Linked DNA regions of Macaca mulatta. The protein of the gene in region 1 binds, or shares a complex with, the protein of each later gene. Links are inferred from orthologs where the notes say so. Each region holds a gene or a part of one and is shown in the gene's direction. Other genes may lie near its edges.

Region 1 (6,493 bases):
GTGTTCATGTGACCACATGGGCGAGAGTGAGCATGAGTGTCCGTGTGTGAGTACATGGGTGAGCACGAGTATCCGTGTGAGCACGTGTGAGCACGAGTGTCCGTGTGTGAGCACATGGGTGAGAGCACTAGTGTGTATGAGCGTGTCTGAGCACATGGGCGAGAGTGAGCAAGTGTACGTGTGAGCACGAGCGAGAGTGAGGACGTGTCTGTGTGAGCATGTGAGCATGAGTGTCCGTGTGTGTGAGCACGAGCCAGAGGAGTGTCCGTGTGAGAATGTATGAGCACAACTGTGTGAGCACATGGGCAAGAGTGAGCACAAGTGTTCGTATGTGTGAGCACGAGTGTCCGTGTGTGAGAACGTGTGGGCATGACTGCCCGTGTGTGTGAACACATGGGCGAGAGTGAGCCACGTGTCCGTGTGTGTGAGCACGAGAGTGAGCACATGGGTGAGAGCACGAGTGAGCACGTGAGCATGAGTGTGTGAGCACAAGCGAGTATGAGCACAAGTGTCCATGCGATCACGTGTGAGCATGATTGAGCACATGGGTGAGAGTGAGCATGAGTGTCCGTGTGTGAGAACATGAGTGAGCACGACTCCGTGTGTGTGAGCATGAGTGTCCGTGTATGAGCACATGGGTGAGAGCACGTGTGTGAACACGTACGAGCACGAGCGAGAGTGAGCATACATGTCTGGGAGCATGTGAGCATGATTGAGCACATGGGCGAAGAGTGAGCACGAGTGTCCATGTGAGCACGTGTAAGCATGATTGTGTCAGCACATGGGTGAGAGTGAGCATGAGTGTCCGTGTGTGAGAACATGAGTGTGAGCACGACTGTCCATGTGGGAGCACATGGGCGAGAGTGAGCACGTGTCTGTGAGCATGAGTGTGTGTATGAGCACAGCAAGAATGAGCACACAGGCAAGAGTGAGCGTGCGTGTCTGTGTGTGAGAACATGAGTGTGAGCACGACTGTCCATGTGTGGGAGCACATGGGTGAGAGTGAGCATTAGTGTGTGAGAGCACGTGTCAGCACGAGTGTGCGTGTGCATGAGTACATGGGTGAGAGCGAGCATGCATGTTCATGTGCTGGGCAAGGCAGGGTGGTGGCACCACTTTGAGTTCTCTTTTTAGCTTTGAAAGAGGTCATAGTTCATGAAACCTGAGAGCTTTATGCGGCTCTAGCCTCCCTGGCCACCCTGTGGTCCATCTTCCTGGAAGCCCCGCCCACCTTCCTCCCGCGCGGGAACCCTGCCCGGCTCTGGATGTCTTTCCAGGTCAGGATGTCTTTCCGGGTCAGGATGTCTTTCCGGATTTCCTCCCTTTGTTGAAGGACGTTTTCTTGCAGCTTCCTGAGAAATGTTTCTGCAGAAGGTAATTTTTGGAGGCCTTGTGCCCCTGCTCTGCCCTTGGATCATTTAGCTGGGTATAGCGTGTGCCACTGTGCCCAGCTTTTTTTTTTTTTGAGACAGTCTTGCTCTGTCGCCCAGGCTGGAGTGCAGTGGCACGATCTGGGCTCACTGCAAGCTCCGCCTCCCGGGTTCACGCCATTCTCGTCTCAGCCTCCCGAGTAGCTGGGACTAGAGGCGCTGCCACCTCGCCTGGCTAATTTTTTGCATTTTTAGTAGAGACAGGGTGTCACCATGTTAGCCAGGATGGTCTCGATCTCCTGACCCGTGATCCACCTGCCTTGGCCTCCCAAAGAGCTGGGATTACAGGAGTGAGCCACCATGCCCGGCCTAATTTTTTTATTTTTAGTAGAGATGGGGTTTCACCATGTTGGGCAGGCTGGTCTTGAACTCCTGACCTCAAATGATCTGCCTGCCTCAGCCTCCCAAAGTGCTGGGATTACAGGCATGAGCCACTGTGATCTTGTGCGTATGATCTGCTTTTTCTCAGCAGTTTTTCCAGATTTCTTTGTCCATTGTGTTCGGGGTTCCATGTGCTTGGCTTTGATGTGGGTCTTGTTCTTTGACTGTGCTGGATACTTGGTTCTAAGAAAATATGCCTTTGCTGATTTTTTTTCTCTCTTTTCTTCCCTTTCTCTTTGGTGTGCCCATGAGCCTGTCCTGATGTCTTGTGGACTGGCCCTCTAATTGTGCTCTCCAAATTTTCTTTCTCTTCGATGTTTTATTTTTGGGAGATGTTCTCATTTACCAGCCAGTCTACTGAATTTCCATCCTCAGTGTTTTGTCTTTTGTTTGCTATTTCCCGTGTGCCTCTTGCCAGGGGCTTTCCATGGGTGGCTGGTCATCCTGGGCTGGGCACCAGGTTCTGAGTGAGGCCTCGGAGCCCTGGACAGTGGGCCCTGCAGGCTAAGTCATGCTGGACAGGGGGTCCTGCAGACTGAGTCATGGCTGTTTCCCGAGGGCTTTCTCCTGCTGGGGGATTTCCAGTTCCCTGCCAAGGGACACCATCCTGGCTGTCAGGACCTTGTGGGTGTTCCAGGTGTGGAGAGGAACCTTGGGTCCTGCTCACTGCAGACTGGTTCCCCCTGAGCCACCGCACAGGGTGGGGGTCCTGCAGCTTCTCTGGCCCCCACTTTGGAGAGGCCCAGCATAACTCCTTGGCCTTGCTGTCCGGCCTGTGGCGGCTCCACCCCGGGAAGTGGGTGTCGGGTCTTGTCTCCTCCACCCTCTTGTCTGGCCTGTACCCTCGTTACTCTCTGGAACCTCAAGTCTGTTGTCCACTCTGTGCCTTTCTTGGTGGTCTCCATACCCTCGTTTCCCCACAGCTGCCCTTTGGCCTCTGGCTGGCTTCTCCTCTGAAGCCCACCCCGAGGAGAGGCAAGGGGGTGGGTGTGGCTCTCTGGGTGGACGGCATCTCCCTCCTGTCCTTTCTCCTCCCTGCGGAAGGTCTCAGATGTCAGGCTGCCGTGCCCCACTTGTCTGTGTGGCCTTTGTCTGTGGTGGGGAACCTGCCCAGGGCCATAGAGGGACAGTGAGACAAGCTGCCAAGGCTGAGCCTTGGGGACGGCCCCACCTGAGGGTCCCGAGTTGCCGAGCACAGGTGTCCGTCGGTCCTTGGGCTTCACGGCGTGGGCCTCCATCGCACCCCCCAGGCCCAGGCTGCTCGGCTGGTCATGTGGTGCCAGGCACGCCCCGCACCCTGACCCCCACCCTGCTCCACCCAGGCTTGGCGACTGTGATATGAGTGACAGCAGCTGCAGCAGCCTTGCCGCGACCCTGTTGGCCAACCATAGCCTGCGCGAGCTGGACCTCAGCAACAACTGCCTGGGGGACGCGGGCGTCCTGCAGCTGGTGGAGAGTGTCCGGCAGCCGGGCTGCCTCCTGGAGCAGCTGGTGTATGTGGACGCGTTGGGCGGGTGGTGTGGCCAGGGCTGCCCAGGGAGGAAGGCGGGGGTTGGGGAGGACACAGACCCATGCCTCCCTTCTGGCCTCTGTGCAGCCTGTACGACATTTACTGGTCCGAGGCGATGGAGGACCGGCTGCAGGCCCTGGAGGAGGAGAAGCCATCCCTGAGGGTCATCTCCTGAGGCGCTTCCTGCCGCTGCTCTCCCTGGACGACCGGCTTCGAGGCACCCCTGGGGCTGACCAGCCCCTGCCACGTCCTCGCCCTGCATATCCTAGGTTTGAAGAGAAACGCTCAGATCCGCTTATTTTTGCCAGTATATTTTGGACACTTTATAAACCATTAAAGCACTTTCTTGGCAGGAGGGGCTCTTGTCCTTCCTGGGGTCCCTGCGAGTTGTGCTGGCATCAGAGACGACACCACCTCACGTGGCATGGGTTTCTCACTGCCTAAGGGACCTGCACCAGGGAAGCAGCCCAAGGCCCTGGCTGTGCTCAGCTGGGTCCTGTGAGCCGTACCCCACCCACACTGGGGAGCAAAGGGCAGGCCCTGCCTGGGGTGGGGGATGCCCCTTGGTTCTGCCTGTGCAGGGTGACGCCTGCTGGGAGCTGCCCACAGGCCCAGCACTCCCACAGCTTCCACCCTGGAGCCTCAGGAGCTCCCAGCACTGCCCAGCGCAGCCCGACCTGGGGTCCTGCCTGGAGCCCAGTTCTTGCCCCAGCTTTGTCTGCAGCTCTGTGTGGGACGGTGGGGCCCATCCTCAGGGGCAGCCCATCTTGCCCACGGGTGGGCAGCTGATCAAGGTGGGCCAGCCCGGGGTGCCCTGCCCTGCCAAGCCAAGAGGGGGGACGCTTGTCAGCTTTCAAAGGTCTGATGCTGAGTCAGCAACTACAAATTCATTGCAAAGAAGTTCCCCGGCAACCCCCCTTTTTTGGACAAGGTCTCTCACTCATCCAGGTGGGAGTGCAGTGGTGCGATCTCGGCTCACTGCAGCCTCGACCTCCGGGACTCAAACCGTCCTCCCACCTCAGCCTCCCAGGTAGCTGGGACTACAGGCGTGCACCCCCACACCTGGCTAATTTTTGTATTTTTTGTAGAGACAGGGTCTTGCCATGTTGCCCAGGCTGGTGTTTGGTCTTGGGTATTACTGGTGTGAGCCATCGCACCCGGCCCAATAAAGCCCTTTAAAGCGACCCAGGGGCTGGGTGCGGAGGCCGGGCACAGTGGCTCACGCCTGCCTGTAATCCCAGCACTTTGGGAGGCTGAGGTGGGTGGATCAGGTCGGGAACTCTTGAGGTCGGGAGTTCGAGACCAGCCTGGCCAACGTGATGAAACCCTGTCTGTACTAGAAATACAAAATTTAGCTGGGCGTGGTGGCCATGCCTGTAATCCCAGCTACTTGGGAGGCTGAGGCACGAGAATGGCTTGAACCTGGGAGGTGGAGGTTGCAGTGAACTGAGATTGCGCCAGTGCACTCCAGCAACAGAGCAAGACTCCGTCTCAAACACACACACATACATACATATATACATACATACTACATTAAAAAATGACCCAGGATCTTAGAAACTAACTATGACCCCCCTAGTCAGGGGAACAGGGCTCCTTGGGGACATGGGTGATGCCAGGCCTGGGGCAAGAGATGCCCAAGGTGAGTTCGGAGCATCTCGGTGTGTGGGGAACCAGAGCCCTTGGGCGCTGTCTGGGGTTGAGTTGCTGCCGGAAAGGCTCCCAGGGGCCGCCTTTGGGACACGGCGGGCGCCTGAACACAGGACTCATCGCAAGCCCCGCCTCGTCCTGCTCCTTGGGAAGAGCAGACGGTGACCACGAGCAGACCGCCACCCCCGCCTGCCGTCACCCCCGCCGGCCGCCACCCCCGCCGGCCGTCACCCCGCCGGCCGCCACCCCCGCCGGCCGCCACCCCCGCCGGCCGCCACCGTCACCCCCGCCGGCCGCCACCCCCGCCGGCCGTCACCCCCGCCGGCCGCCACCCCCGCCGGCCGCCACCGTCACCCCCGCCTGCCACCCCCGCCGGCCGCCACCCCCGCCTGCCGTCACCCCCGCCGGCCGCCACCCCCGCCGGCCGCCACCGTCACCCCCGCCTGCCACCACGCCACCAGCCGCCACGGGGCTCAGAGCATCAGGGGGATGCAGAGCACGGGTGGAGTGACAGTGGGGTCCCACAGGAGTGAGGGGGGGAGAGGGGCCCCCACAGTGGGGAGTTCCTCCTGAGGGGTCAAAGCTGCCACCTGCAAAGAGCAGATGCTGAGGCCCCGTGTGTCCTGCCGCACAGGGCAGGGCCGCAGAGGCCAAAGCTGTGAGTAGCTGTGACTGGAAAAGGGATTTGCTGGGCACCGGGCGTGGTGGCCACACAGGACATCTTCCTGCCGAGCCCGGGAGGCTGCTCTCATGTGAGCCTTGACATACAGGGGTTGAAAATTTCCCCAAAAGTAGTCAAAGAAAAAAAGTAAAGCTGTTTAAAGCCTGGGGCCCTGAGGCAGAGCAGGCAGTGTGGGTGCATCTGGCTCCTGGAGTCCCCTCAGGCTGTGTCCAACCAGCCACCGACACCCCTTACCTCCCCCCTGCTAGGAACCGGGCTCAGGGAACCCCTTTTCTCTCCATTTGTGTTTGAAAATTTTCATGGTAAAGTTTAAAAAATAGTGGCCTGGCTGGGCACGGTGGCTCACGCCTGTAATCCCAGCACTGTGGGAGGCCAAGGCAAGTGGATCACCTGACGTTGGGAGTTCAAGACCAGCCTAGCCAATGTGGTAAAACCCCATCTCTACTAAAAATACTAAAATTAGTCGGGAGTGGCGGCAGGCACCTGTAATTCCAGCTACTTGGGGGACTGAGGCAGAATTGCTTGAACCTGGGAGGCGGAGGTTGCAGTGAACCAAGATGGTGCTACCGCACTCCAGCCTGGGTGACAGAGTAAGACGCCATCTCAAAAAAAAAGTGGCCCGAGAAGGCAGCTGCCCCTCTCCAGGAATCCTGTGTCCACTGCCCAGTGGTCGCCGGCCCTGGGACAAACGCAGTAGAGGGTGGGTGCTGGACCCTCCTGGAGCCTGGGGGAGGGGCTGCGTCCGGCACCTGCTCTCTCTGGGAGGCAGGGCGGGGCGGGCGCCAAGTCTTTGCTCAGGCGCAGAGGCTGAGGCTGACCCCAGTGCCTCCCGTCCTCTGT
Region 2 (6,172 bases), on another chromosome or scaffold:
AGAGTTTTACACTGTAGCAGGACGAACCGCAGACAAAACTCCTCAGACACGGGATTAAAGAAGGAAGAGGTTTTTTATTCGGCCGGGAGCATCAGCAGACTTGCATCTTAAGAGCTGAGCTCCCCGAAAAAGAAATACTTGGCCTTTTTAAAGGCTTACAACCTTAAGGAGTCCACGTGAAAGGGTCGTGATAAACTGAGCAAGCGTGGGAAACGTGACTGGGGGCTACATGCATCAGCTAACAGAACAAAAAGTTTTACAATGCTTTTTTCATACAGTGTCTGGAATTTACAGATAACACAAGCAGTTTAGGTCAGGGGTTGATGTTATTATTATTACTTTTTTTAACTCCTAGGGTCGGGTGGTGGTGCCAAGGTTGTCTGGCTGTTTATCTTTCTTTTGTTTCTTTGTCTGTTTCTTCCTGTCTTGTGAACTAGGCAAGGTGGGGGGAGGAGGGCAGCAGGAGTAGTAGTGGTCTCCTTCCTTAACACAACACGGGGGCCTTCAGAAGACCCAAAGATAGAGGGGAAAGTGGGCATTTTTACACTTAGGTATCAACAAAGTATGAACAGCTGTGTAGAAATGTGATTGGACAACAGGGGTGAGATCTAATGAAAATAGACTGAGTGGGGAAACCCAGCAAGGCCTCCCTGTCTAGATTCTTCTTGGCCTCCCTGAGCATTCGTTCTTTTTTCTGGGTATGGGGGGCAGGACCTCCTTTGGAATGAGGATCTTATGACCTACAACCACACAACGTAGGTCAGATAATTTCACCATGGCCACTTTTTACACAGAAAGGCTGAAACAGTCTGAATACAGAGCACGAAGGGATATTTTGATAATTCTTACTCCACAGGTATCCAAATTGTTACTCAGCAAAAGGACAGGTCTCTTTCTAGGAGTGCATTCTGCTGCTAACAAATATGATATGCTTTGTATTTTTTACCCAAAAAGAATTTGAGATTTGGGATTTAAGTTTATCTTCAGTTTCTCTACTCAATTCCCACCTACCAGTGGTTCTGATCAGTAGATAAGAACAGCTCCATCCTCTTGATGCCCCCAGAGCAGGGGGAGGAGGGTGGGCGGGAAGTGACCAGAACTGGGTGAGCTCACCCTAGAAGCCTCCTCCTCCTCCCTATTCAGTTACTCCCCGTTTCTTCTCCAGATCTGGGAAGCCTTCCAGCTGGGGGCAGCAGGACCGCCTCCATTCCCCCCGACCCCACCTTCCACCCCCGGGAGAGGTACTGTTGGGAGAATACCCTCCTAAAAAGAGACTTGGGTTTTGCTCCCTAGGAGCCCTGGAATAGCCTTGGCCAGAATTCCACATCTCCCATCAGTACCTCTCCTGAGGAGAGGGCCTCCCTTTCCCGTGATCACCTTTTGCGTCCTTTGTTAACCTCCAAGTCTACTTGGTGAAAACGGCCCACGAAGAAGTAACAAGGACTTTGTCCCTAGTGTGTCAGGTTTGGGCACCAGTGCTGTAGTGGCTTTCTCTGCTGCTCCTTGTGCATCAGCAGACAGATGTGGTTTACATAGGAGGAAAGACTAATGTAGGCAAAGATTTGCTCTTTCTTCAGCAGCCCTGGAAAGATGGTGGCCTGGGAGATTCACCACTCCTTCCTCACGTCCTTGATTTTATTTCAACTGAGTTCGATATGCTCCTCCCACCCTTTTCCTCTTGGAAGCCAAACCCCTTTGTAATCTGTATAAGGTCCATACCCCAGGAGCTTAGTGACTGCAGAAACTGGCCTTCCATCTCTCTCAGACACCAAGCTGCAGATCCAGGTAAGCAGTCCAAGAGGTGTTCTCAGGTGCCGCTTCTGCTTCAGGGTTGGAGAGGAAGAAGCTAGGGCCAGTCCACAGCACTGAGAAAGCTTGGATGATGCTAGCGCTGAAAAAATGTGGTCCAGGCAAACATCAGCTGGAGGCAGAGGGGTCGGGGTGGAACGTGCAGGCTGCAGAGCATCCATGGAACTGGAAAAGAAGGAGCCCTCAAGTTGGGGGAAGCCAGCATTTCTCTTTGGAATACAACGGAATCCTTTATGAGGCCAGTGTCAGGCACTGGCCTGAGTTCCCTTATGCTGTAAGACAACAAGACTCTGTCACCCATGGTCCTAGATGTTGGGGATACAATTTGGTTCATGATTTATTCAAACTGATGTTTCGATGAGCCATTTGAGCACTGGATACAAATGTATTTTGGATCAAAGAAACACCAGTATTCAAAGATAGAAACTGACAGGATTTTAGGTCACTTCGTAGGTCACCACCTAAACGGGAAAAAGACCTCGCTTTGGAGAGTGGCAATAAAACGCTTGTGGAGAAGGATACACGTGAGTGTCTCATTACACAAAAAACCTCAGGAAGTGGGACGGACATCTTTCTGGTTGACCTGAGACAGAAACTGTAAGCCAGGGAAGCCATAGGTGGGAGGTGGAGTTCTTTTTCTAAGAGGGCTCTTTTCCTTCTGTCTCCTTTTCTCAATTAGGCTTTTCCGGGAAAGTGAGGCCCCCATGGCTCTGGATAAGTCTGTCATCCTGCTCCCTCTGCTTGTCCTGGTGCTGCTGGTGCTGGGCTGCCTGGGCAGGGAATCCCGGGCCAAGAAATTCCAGCGGCAGCACATGGACTCAGGCAGTTCCCCCAGCAGCAACTCCACCTACTGCAACCAAATGATGAAGCGCCGGAGTATGACGCACGGGCGGTGCAAACCAGTGAACACCTTTGTGCATGAGCCCCTGGTAGATGTCCAGAATGTCTGCTTCCAGGAAAAGGTCACCTGCAAGAACGGGCAGACCAACTGCTTCAAGAGCAAGTCCAGCATGCACATCACAGACTGCCGCCTGACAAACGGCTCCAGGTACCCCAACTGTGCATACCGGACCAGCCCGAAGGAGAGACACATCATTGTGGCCTGTGAAGGGAGCCCACATGTGCCAGTCCACTTCGATGCTTCTGTGGAGGACTCAACCTAAGGTCAGAGCAGCGAGATACCCCACCTCCCTCAGCCTCATCCTTTCTACAGCTGCCTCTTCCCTCTTCCCTCTTCCTTCCCTGCTATGAAAGAAGTAACTCCAGTTAGGGCTCCTAGTCAACACACTCATGCTTCCTTTTCCTGAGTCCCACCCCTGCGTGATTTTGGGGGTGAAGAGTGGGTTGTGAGGTGGGCCCCATGTTAACCCCTCCACTCTTTCTTTCAATAAAACACAGTTGCAAGCACTTGATTTCTGAAGCGGTTCTGTCTAGGTACTGTTTCTGGCATTGGCTTCCAGCAAGGGGCAAGAACTGTAAATCTGATTCGCTTTGGAGAACGGTGAATGAAGTAATTAAATGCTTTCCCTTCTGACTTGGATTTTAGTGGCTTGAGAAAATTCCTTTCCTTGTAGATTCCTTGATGCCAAACCTAAAACTATTAAGTGTGGGCTGTTCTAGACAAAAGGGAGCAACAGCCTGGGACACTGCCATGCAGGGTGAACTGACAGAGGGGTGAAGCTCAAATACAGTCATTCTGTGGCACAGAAGGAAGGTGAGTGCAACCTCAGGAAGACCCTGCTTAGCCTCAGGATGAGGAAGAGGAGTCAATGAAATGATGATCCTAAATTTCCATTCTCCTTTTTTTTTTTTTTTTTTTTGAGTAAGCTATTACTAAATCAGAAAAATGGGCACCTCTTAGTTGGAAAGTCAGAATCTTACATTTTAGAGCTAGAAGTGACTTTGGAGAGCATGGAATTGAGGGATAGCAAGTAGATTTCAGTTTGTGTACCAACTCTAATTGGAAGTGCCGGTCGGGCATGGTGGCTTACACCTGTAATCCCAGCATTTTGGGAGGCTGAGGCGGGTGGATCACCTGAGGTCAGGAGTTCGAGACCAGCCTGGGCAGCATGGTGAAACCCCATCTCTACTAAAAATACAAAAATTAGTGGGGCATGGTGGTGGGTGCCTGTAATCCAGCTACTAGGGAGGCTGAGGCAGGAGAATCACTTGAACCTGGGAGGCGGAGGTTGCAGTGAGTTGAGATGGTGCTGCTTCACTCCAGCCTGGGCAATAAAAGTGAAACTCTGTCTCAAAAAAAAAAAAAAAAAAAAAAAAAGAAGTGCCTACCCAAAATGCTGTAGAAAAAAAATTCTGGACAGTGATATGGTTGAACAAGAGCCTCTAATGAAGGCACAAGACGGGGAAGGGTGTGTGTGCCACACATTTGCCATCCCTGACCAAATGTAACCCCTGCCTTTCCAGTGACTTGCACATGGCTTGTTGCTAGTTAGTGGTTCAGCTGGAAGTAGACCCTAGGTTTCCTGACTTCCAAGCCATTGTTCTAACTCAGGAAGAAAGCTCCCCTCCTCACTAAGTGCTGTGGAGCGGTGGCTCTCTCCCAGAGCTTGCTGCTGGGCTCTCACAGGCTCCCAGTGTACTTAGCCTGTGAGTCCACTCCATTCTTGGCAACCCTTCCTGACAGCCACTGAAAGACTACCTTTGCATCTGTCGACACTTAATCATTACATTTGATCCCCTGTTTACAGTGACATCTGGCTCCAGACAAGGTCACAGAACTAGAGAAAGGCCCTATTTTCAACCAACATGACTAGTTCTGTCCTTGTCGTTGTATACTACATCTATAAATGTTGGTAGAGGCTGTGATTTTCTAACGTAGAGTAAATCCTCAGCCCTGGGGGCTCTGCATAAGGAAGGAAACCTACAGGTGAGAAGGTCCATTCCCACACTTCTGTGGCAATGGGGATCTCATTCCTTATTAGCAGTGAGAATGGGGGACAAAAAAAGAGGAAACTTCGAGTTTCTAAATATGTCTTCCTTAATCCATTTTTTTTCTTAAGGTTATCTCACCCTTGTTCCTAGCCCCAAAGCTTCTCATTTTTCCTCCTGCTAATCTTACGAGAACACTTTAGTGAAGCTTTTACAAACACTCACTTGGAGTTTTGCCTCCTCCATATCTGCACATTCACCAGCTCTGGCTTCCGGCTCCTCTCACCTTCCCTGCCACAGGACTCCTGGGGCCCCCCATCTGGGGTATAAAGCAGTAAGTGAAGATGAAGTGTCCAGGTGCACCCCTGCATAGCCAGGAAGGCTCTGGGGAGGCACAGAGCCCTGAATAGGGGGGCAGAGGGGGAAGAAACCAAGCCAGGTCTCGGAGAGGACCAGACACAATGAAGGAGAGAAGCACCACAGCCACCTGGGGACAAATAAGACATCTCTGACCTGTGGGGGACGCCACTGTTACCCCCTAAATAAAGTAGTGCTAACACTTTCTAGGAGATGAACTCCAGCAGGTGAATCTTAAAATCGAGGTGCTGACATATGAAGATGGATCTCTGCATAAAGGCAGAAATGATCACATCCAGTCATTTTTCTGAAAAGGATACTATTAATTTTCAAAAGATTCTTCAAATAAGCTTAAGAAATTCTGCATTCTCAGTGGAGAGGTAAATATACTCCAGCAGATCAGCTTCTTCTTCTTCTTTTTTTTTTTTTTTTTGAGACGGAGTCTCGCTCTGTCCCCAGGCTGGAGTGCAATGGCGTGATCTTGGCTCACTGTAACCTCCGCCTCCCGGGTTCAAATGATTCTTCTACCTCAGCCTCCCGAGTAGCTGGGATTGCAGGTGGATGCCACCACACCCGGCTAATTTTTGTATTTTTAGTAGAGACGGGGTTTCACCATATTGGTCAGGCTGGTCTCGAACTCCTGACCTTGCGATCCACCCATCTTGGCCTCCCAAAGTGCTGGGATTACAGGCGTGAGCCACTGCGCCTGGCCCAGACCAGCTCCTTCTTACCCTGGCAGCTGAAAGTGTACTCAGAAAATTAGAGGACCTTCTGCCTCTCTGACCTGCTGGTCCTCCCTCCACTCCAGCCTCTCTCTATGGTAAATTCCTCCTTCAATTCTAGTAGCAGATAGCCCCCCTCCTCCCAGCGCTACCACACATCAAAACAGGTCAGTCGTCTACACCTGAAATGAGTTCAGTTAAAAGAGTAACTGATCATTGCATAAGGTTCTTTCTTACTCCTCAATCAGTATTCTCACCCTGAACTTTCTCTAGACTTGGGAAAGGAAAGGTGGCTCCCAGCTCCCACTCTTGCCTCTTTAGACTGATTCAGACCTCATGGAGCACGTGGGAATGAACTGTAGGTGAGCTCTGAATCTCAACGCCCATCATGGGAA
Region 3 (6,807 bases), on another chromosome or scaffold:
AAAGGCTTAGTCCTTTCCTCTTTCATGCCAGAAACTTAACCAAAGGGGTCAGATCTACTTATTCAATGGCTTTCAGAGGAGATATGCAGGAAGCCCCATGGAAGCGGGAAGGCCTAGGGCTACCTTTCTGAGGTTCAAGAGACCAGGAAGAGCTCCATACACCAAATATCTTTAGAACTTAGGTAAGTTAAATATTACTCTATTTAGTGCAATTTAATTAACCTGCACCATATTATTATGGAAATCTTGTATTACTTTTAATGGCAAAAATTGCAATTACTTTTGCACCAACGTAGTAAATAGTGTGCATTGTCTTTCCCATAGATAGCCACTGCTGCATTAGGGAAATCTGTGTGCAGGAAGGTATTGATGGTTTGGTACCTCCCTATCAGCAGGTTAAGAGCAAATATTACAAGGGTACCCTGGGGCTGAAGTAATTAAAAGCATTAAACATTATAATTTTGCACATAAATGCTATGCAAAAAAGACATTGATTAATCCAGTGTACTCAACAGTGGTTTTTTACCATAAACAGTCTTTGTCTGGGACAGTATTTTAGAATATTCATCGGTTTCCAAAAAAGGGACTTAATACTGGGACATAATTCTGACTACTACTCTCACTGGAAGTATGGATTGGGTCTGAAAATGTGTCATTAAATTAGGCTCTAAGACAAGTTAATCTAATAAAGTAAAGAACCCGGGAGATGTGGCTCGTGTCTGTTAAAGACAAAATCATGCTGAAGTTACAGAGAATTTTGTTTAACATTGGCTTATACTTTATTCCTGCTTCGTATAAAACAGTCTTCTCCCAAAGGTCGTAAATACCAAAGTAGATCATTTCTACTAGTTCTGCAGGCAAATGAAGGTAGTTGGAAGTGTACACAGGAAATCTATGCAAGGGAGAATCAGAAAAATCTCATGAGCATGTGCTGAATACAATTTCAGTAGTCGGGAGTGGTGGCTCATGCCTATAATCCCAGCACTTTGGGAAGGTGAGGGGGGCGGATTGCCTGAGGTCAGGAGTTTGAGACCAGCCTGGCCAACATGGTGAAACCCTGTCTCTATAACAAATACAAAAATTAGCCGGGCATTGTGGTGGGTGCCTGTAATCCCAGCTACTTGAGATGCTGAGGCAGGAGAATCGCTTGAACTCAGGAGGCAGAGGTTGCAGTGGGCCAAGATCCCTCCACTGCACTCCATCCGGGTGACAATAGCAAGACTTCGTCTCAAAAACAACAACAACAAAAAAAAAACACATACACAATATTAAAGGATAAATATGGTTGCAAATTGGGCAGGTTATGGTCTGAGTTATTTCTTAAGACACTGCAACAAGTCAGATGCGTCATAAGCACAGATGTCTCCAGGAGCCAGGCAGGTGACATTACTGAACAGACAAGATGAAAGTCAAGAGGCAGAGATGGAGTCAGAGAACAGCCCTGAGCTAGAGCCCTTTCCACAGATGGAGCTTTACTCAGCTCTAATTGATACAACACAGTAATGGAGACACAGTGCACCAATCAACATCATGCGATTTTTAAAGATAAGACAGTGATGAAAACTTTTAGTGAACTATTCCAATGTCAAACGTTATCTTCCAAACCAAACATTATAAATAGCACTGTGTAGGCTGAAAAGAAACACTGTTTAGTCAAGTACATGCCCTGGGGCTGCGGTCTCTGTCTTTTGCCTCATACTATAGACACTTGAGTGCAAATCTTTCTACCCAGTGTGACTGTCAGCATCACAGAGGGGATACTCTACGTATCATTCACCTTTACATTCTCATCACCTACAAAAATGATCTCCACACAATATACATGAAAAAACAAACTCGCCTCATGATAAAGCTGCTAATGACTGTCGGCCAGAGCAGGACTTCAAGGCAGAACACTATTAGCTGCACATTGAGTCCTCGCCAGGTCCCCTTTGTGTCCACATTTACCTAGGGACTCCAGTGATAAAATTACTGCATTTCTAAATGACAGGAAAATTGGATGGTAGCAAAAATTATGCAGATTAATGGTTGGAAAGTATATGATATCATTTAAGGATCTAATTTCAATTTTCTAATCTCAAAGCTAGACCACCAGATTTAACATCTCTTAGTACCCACGACTTACCCCTGCAATTCACTTCCCACCTCCATACAATCTCCCCACATGCCCAGAATGTTCATCTCTTCCCGAAAGCCCCTGAAAACCCCCTGCTTTTACCTTAGGACCCTGCTGCAATGAAACTTTTTTTTTAACTCTTCCTTGTCCCTCAAGCCAAGTGATTTCCTTCACCCTCAGTGTCCCCATGAAATCATGTTCACACAAGTGCAATTACCTCTCTCACACTGTAATTCAATTATATGTCTACAATTACCTTCCTGTGTTTCTCTGAGGGCCAAGAATAAGTGTATGCTTTGTGTATCAAACTGTACATTTGATTTCTGTACTTTCAGGAACACAGTGCTCTGTCCTTAAATGTTCATTTTGTAAATACAGAACCATTTTCTTGTTAATATCACAAAATGAAACTTATCAGGAAGATGAATGACAACCCCAGAACACACTGTTTTGTAGAAAATACCATAGGCTGAAAAGAACACAGGAATACCAAGTGCTAGGCTGGAATCTTTCATGACACCAAATGTTCATTCATTCTCTCCCAGATTTTACGACTTTCCTCAGTGTATTTTTAGGTTGTGTAACTTTACACAAAGTGGAAGCAATAATGAGAGCAAGACTTAAAAGAAAGTGAATCCAATGCAAGAGGAGAAAAGGAAAACCCTCAAATATGTGAAGCAGATTGTTTTAATAATCTACAGAATCTTGTGTCTCAAGAAGTTAATAGCTCAAGTTTCCAGCAAAGAGTGGTGGATGAGATGGAGAGCATTTGTGTGAGAGAGAACCAAGGATATTACTAACAATGAAAGGCAAGCTGGCTTCCTCCTGGGCAAACAGCCCTCTGTGGCTCTATTTGTTCTAACTACTATGCCCTGCCTTCGTGCACTTTGGTCATTTAGGGGCCTGCCAGAGGACAGTTACAAAATCTGTGGTCATTCTGCAGGCAACATATAGTTTTCATCCAGAGTCCAGATCCAACCAGCAAAACTCTGTCTTACACAGAATGACTTGGAATTAGAGTCCTCATAGCAGAAAGAGCAGCAGGGCTATCCTTGGGTATCCATTGCTCAGCCAAGTTATCAAATAAAAAGGCTGATTGATGGGCCAGGCCCGGTGGCTCAAGCCTGTAATCCCAGCACTTTGGGAGGCCAAGATGGGCGGATCACGAGGTCAGGAGATCGAGACCATCCTGGCTAACATGGTGAAACCCCGTCTCTACTAAAAAATACAAAAAACTAGCCGAGCGAGGTGGCGGGCGCCTGTAGTCCCAGCTACTCAGGAGGCTGAGGCAGGAGAATGGCGTAAACCGGGGAGGCAGAGCTTGCAGTGAGTTGAGATCTGGCCACTGCACTCCAGCCTGGGCGACAGAGCGAGACTCCATCTCAAAAAAAAAAAAAAAAAATCTGATTGCACAAGCGGACTATGTACCAATCTGTGGGTTTCTACAAGGCCAAGAGTCAGACCCTCCCTCCTGGCTCTGCTGGCCCAACACACCAGGAGATGCTTTATTTAAACAGTTCCAAGTAGGGAAGAACAGTTGCCCCTGAAGGCCAGAACAACCAGCTGGATCAGTTCTCACAGGAGCCGCAGCGCGGAGACTGGGTAAGTCAGCAATCCCCAGAGCTGGGACAGGAGGGGCAGCGACCGGGCAGCACCTGAGGAAGAGGTGGGCTGAACTTAGTGCTTAGGAGATGTGGCCCACTTTGGGGACAGGAAGAAAAAGGAAATGGGACCCCAGAGTGGCAGCAGAGGGGCCTGTGGGGTGAGACACCGGATGGGGGAGTAGTTACTTCTCTTCTTTTCTCACAGGAAAACATGGTTCCAAAACTGTTCACGTCCCCAATTTGTCTGCTTCTTCTGTTGGGGCTTATGGGTGTGGAAGGCTCACTTCATGCCAAACCCGGACAATTTACCTGGGCTCAGTGGTTTGAAATCCAGCATATAAATATGACCTCTGGCCAATGCACCAATGCAATGCCGGTAATTAACAATTATCAACAGCGATGCAAAAATCAAAATACTTTTCTTCTTACAACTTTTGCTGATGTAGTTCATGTCTGTGGTAACCCAAGCATGCCCTGCCCTAGCAACACAAGTCTCAACAATTGTCATCATAGTGGAGTCCAGGTGCCTTTAATCCACTGTAACCTCACAACTCCAAGTCGAAGGATTTCAAATTGCAGGTATACACAGACAACAGCAAACAAGTACTACATAGTTGCATGTAACAACAGCGATCCAGTACGGGACCCTCCACAGTATCCAGTGGTTCCAGTTCACTTGGATAGAGTCATCTAAGCTCCTGTATCAGCACTCCTCATCATCACTCATCTGCCAAGCTCCTCAATCATAGCCAAGATCCCATCCCTCCATGTACCCTGGGTATCAGCATCTGTCCTCATCAGTATCCATACCCCTTCAGGTTTCCTGAGCTGAAGTCCCTTGTGAACCCTGCAATAAACTGCTTTGCAAATTCATCTGGAAGTGTCTGTGTGTCTTCTTTGGCCACTCTGCTGTCATTTAGTGACAATCTACTCCAGAAATTTTTCTTTCCTCTAACCTGAGACTTGTGGGAAATAGAGATTTGAGGATAAGAGACTCTTTCTGTCATGAAGTAGCACAGACTTATCCCTCTCCCTGCTTTAGGTTGAGAAGCTGAGGTCACAACTGATATCGACCAACTGTCGAAGACTCTTGCTTTGATCAAGCTTTAGTCATCTCCTCTGAACCCTCATCATAACTAGGTCATCCTGTTGGACTTACTAGTCCTTCCTTGTAGAATCATTTATAATTACTTTTATTTTTATTCTTTTTTTTTTTTTTTGAGACAGAGTCTCGCTCTGTTGCCCAGATTGGAGTGCAGTGGCGAGATCTCGGCTCACTCCAAACTCCACCTTCCAGGTTCAAGCGATTCTCCTTCCTCAGTCTCCCAAGTAGCTGGGGTTACAGGTACGTGCCATCACATCCAGCCAATTTTTGTAATTTTTAGAGAGTGGGTTTCAACATGTTGGCCAGGCTGGTCTCCAACTTCTGACCTTAGGCAATCCACCCTCCTCAGCCTCCCACCATGCTGGGATCAGAGGCATGAGCCACCAGTACCAGACCTAAAGTTAGGTTTTACAGAAGTCCTCCTAACTTGGTTTGTCATGAATCTCTCATCCTCAATATTTGTCCAAATTCCTTAATTCCCCCATCATTCTCCATGTGATACCTGATTCCTGGCCTGACTTCAAAAAAAACCAAAAATCCAATTACATCAACCTAGCATTGGTCTCCCTAGTCTTGATATCTCCTCTAGGCAATTTTCCATCCGCTGACCCCTCCCCACACACCAACCTATAACTTGACTCTAGATCTCCACTTGTTTTAGTTGTATTTCACCATTGAGCCCAATTTGATACTGAGGTCCCATTTGATGCTTTATGGTATAAGTTTGGTTTTTATTGACATGATTTATATCCCAAGATATATAGGAGCTGCAGTGAATAAGCTGAAAATGCACGTGTTTCATTATGATTTATGAATGATAAATTTTGATAGGATTGAACGTTATGATAGAAAACACAAAAACAGAAAGTAGAAAAAGTCAAGAATGCTATAAATAAGGTGAAATCAAGATTTTTAAAAAAGTTTAGCCTCAGAGATATTCCTTTTAAATGAGCACATCAAATCTCCAGCTATTAGCAATTGTACTAGACGTGGATCCAGGGTTTGAGTCAAATGTGCAATAAGATAAATTGTTCAGACAGCAATAGGGACAGATTGTAATACCGCCTGGAAGAGAGATGGGCATCTTTCCCAAAACTTCCATGTCCTGGAGATGGGGAGCCGCTGGTCACATGGGAAGGGGAAGGGGAAAGAGGAGGACGCGGAAGTGGGAACACTCATGAAGGTGAGATGACTCCTGCCCATTCTGCCCTCCATAGCTATCCGCAATGGTGAGTCAAAGGGTTCATTCAACACCTGTCAGGAAGGGCACAGCCTCAAGAAGTAGGGATTTGTAGACCCAGAGAGAGAAGAAATGGATAATAAGAGCCCTTGCCCTGGCCTCCATTACAGGGCTTCACTCAGGAATCCATGAGAAACAGGAAGGGGAAGCCCTTTCTTGCAAGCTGTGGACAGGTGCAGCACTCAGATGATTGTGCCGGGGACAGAGTGGGTCTTTTTGGATGGCCTGAGTCACAATACAACAGAGATACCACGTCATCAGATCTGCACCTTGGTCCTTCAGTCTGAAATTTCTGACTTCTATATTTCTGCTCCTCTTCTAGACCCTCAGAAACAGCAATTTCCATTCCTCAGATGACTCCATGTCAGTAATAGTGACTCTCATTGGCACCAGACAGCAGCTGTATTGAAGTCTCTCCTCAGGAGAAGCCATTGAGATCTTGCTTCTCCAAGGTGGGGCTATGAACTTAAAAGTTTGCACAGGGACACTGGTTTTGGGAAATCTCAGTGCTCAACAGAATCCACTGCCTCTAGGTAAAATAGAGCATGTCAGGAAGTGAGTGCAGTCTTCCCAACCCTCAAAGTAGCAGAAGGACAGGGTGGGACACTGAAAGCTGGAGCCACGTCTACTGTGAAGAAAGATGGCGTGGACCTTCCTTGCTTCAGGTACCAGATCATAGGTGTCTTCTCAGTCAGGGATGCCTCATATCTAAAACCGTAGGACAGAGGGATCAGTCCCCACA

Evidence for each region.
Region 2: the proteins of RNH1 (region 1) and RNASE1 are in contact, whole or in part, in a crystal structure (PDB 3TSR), measured with the Mus musculus proteins. The link is inferred for Macaca mulatta from reciprocal best matches to the Homo sapiens genes RNH1 and RNASE1. Residues at the interface, in NP_001165571.1 of Mus musculus: Cys7, Asp32, Thr60, Asn89, Asp117, Glu145, Tyr146, Asn174, Glu202, Trp257, Trp259, Glu283, Ser285, Trp314, Lys316, Glu340, Glu397, Ser401, Asn402, Gln426, Val428, Tyr430, Asp431, Ile432, Tyr433, Trp434, Thr435, Asn436, Glu437, Arg443; in NP_035401.2 of Mus musculus: Arg26, Glu27, Lys32, Gln36, Pro48, Thr49, Gln53, Lys56, Arg57, Met60, Asn62, Gly63, Ser64, Cys65, Lys66, Pro67, Val68, Asn92, Lys94, Asn96, Leu111, Lys112, Gly113, Asn114, Ser115, Lys116, Asp121, Ala134, Glu136, Val143.
Region 3: the proteins of RNH1 (region 1) and RNASE2 are in contact, whole or in part, in a crystal structure (PDB 2BEX), measured with the Homo sapiens proteins. The link is inferred for Macaca mulatta from reciprocal best matches to the Homo sapiens genes RNH1 and RNASE2. Residues at the interface, in NP_002930.2 of Homo sapiens: Gln11, Cys12, Arg34, Asp36, Asp37, Arg64, Ser65, Gln93, Asn94, Asp122, Gln148, Glu150, Tyr151, Thr176, Lys205, Trp262, Trp264, Glu265, Trp319, Lys321, Gln347, Ser349, Asn350, Trp376, Ala378, Asp379, Glu402, Asp404, Asn407, Cys409; in NP_002925.1 of Homo sapiens: Lys28, Trp34, Trp37, Gln41, His42, Ser47, Gln49, Thr51, Asn52, Gln55, Val56, Asn59, Gln61, Arg62, Arg63, Cys64, Lys65, Asn66, Gln67, Ser91, Asn92, Arg95, Asn97, Asn111, Leu112, Thr113, Thr114, Pro115, Asn119, Ile120.

Annotation. Positions count from the first base shown.
Region 1 is NC_133419.1:383,513-390,005, reverse strand, and holds the end of RNH1 (ribonuclease inhibitor), read left to right. Parts: exon of another isoform or gene 1-1,374; intron 1,375-3,133; coding exon 3,134-3,304; intron 3,305-3,408; coding exon 3,409-3,496; 3' UTR 3,497-3,673; downstream 3,674-6,493. UniProt on the Homo sapiens protein: Ribonuclease inhibitor which inhibits RNASE1, RNASE2 and angiogenin (ANG). May play a role in redox homeostasis. Required to inhibit the cytotoxic tRNA ribonuclease activity of ANG in the cytoplasm in absence of stress.
Region 2 is NC_133412.1:93,648,942-93,655,113, reverse strand, and holds RNASE1 (ribonuclease pancreatic precursor), read left to right. Parts: upstream 1-2,513; coding exon 2,514-2,972; downstream 2,973-6,172. UniProt on the Homo sapiens protein: Endonuclease that catalyzes the cleavage of RNA on the 3' side of pyrimidine nucleotides. Acts on single-stranded and double-stranded RNA.
Region 3 is NC_133412.1:93,784,177-93,790,983, forward strand, and holds RNASE2 (non-secretory ribonuclease), read left to right. Parts: upstream 1-3,634; 5' UTR 3,635-3,718; intron 3,719-3,925; 5' UTR 3,926-3,931; coding exon 3,932-4,414; 3' UTR 4,415-4,587; downstream 4,588-6,807.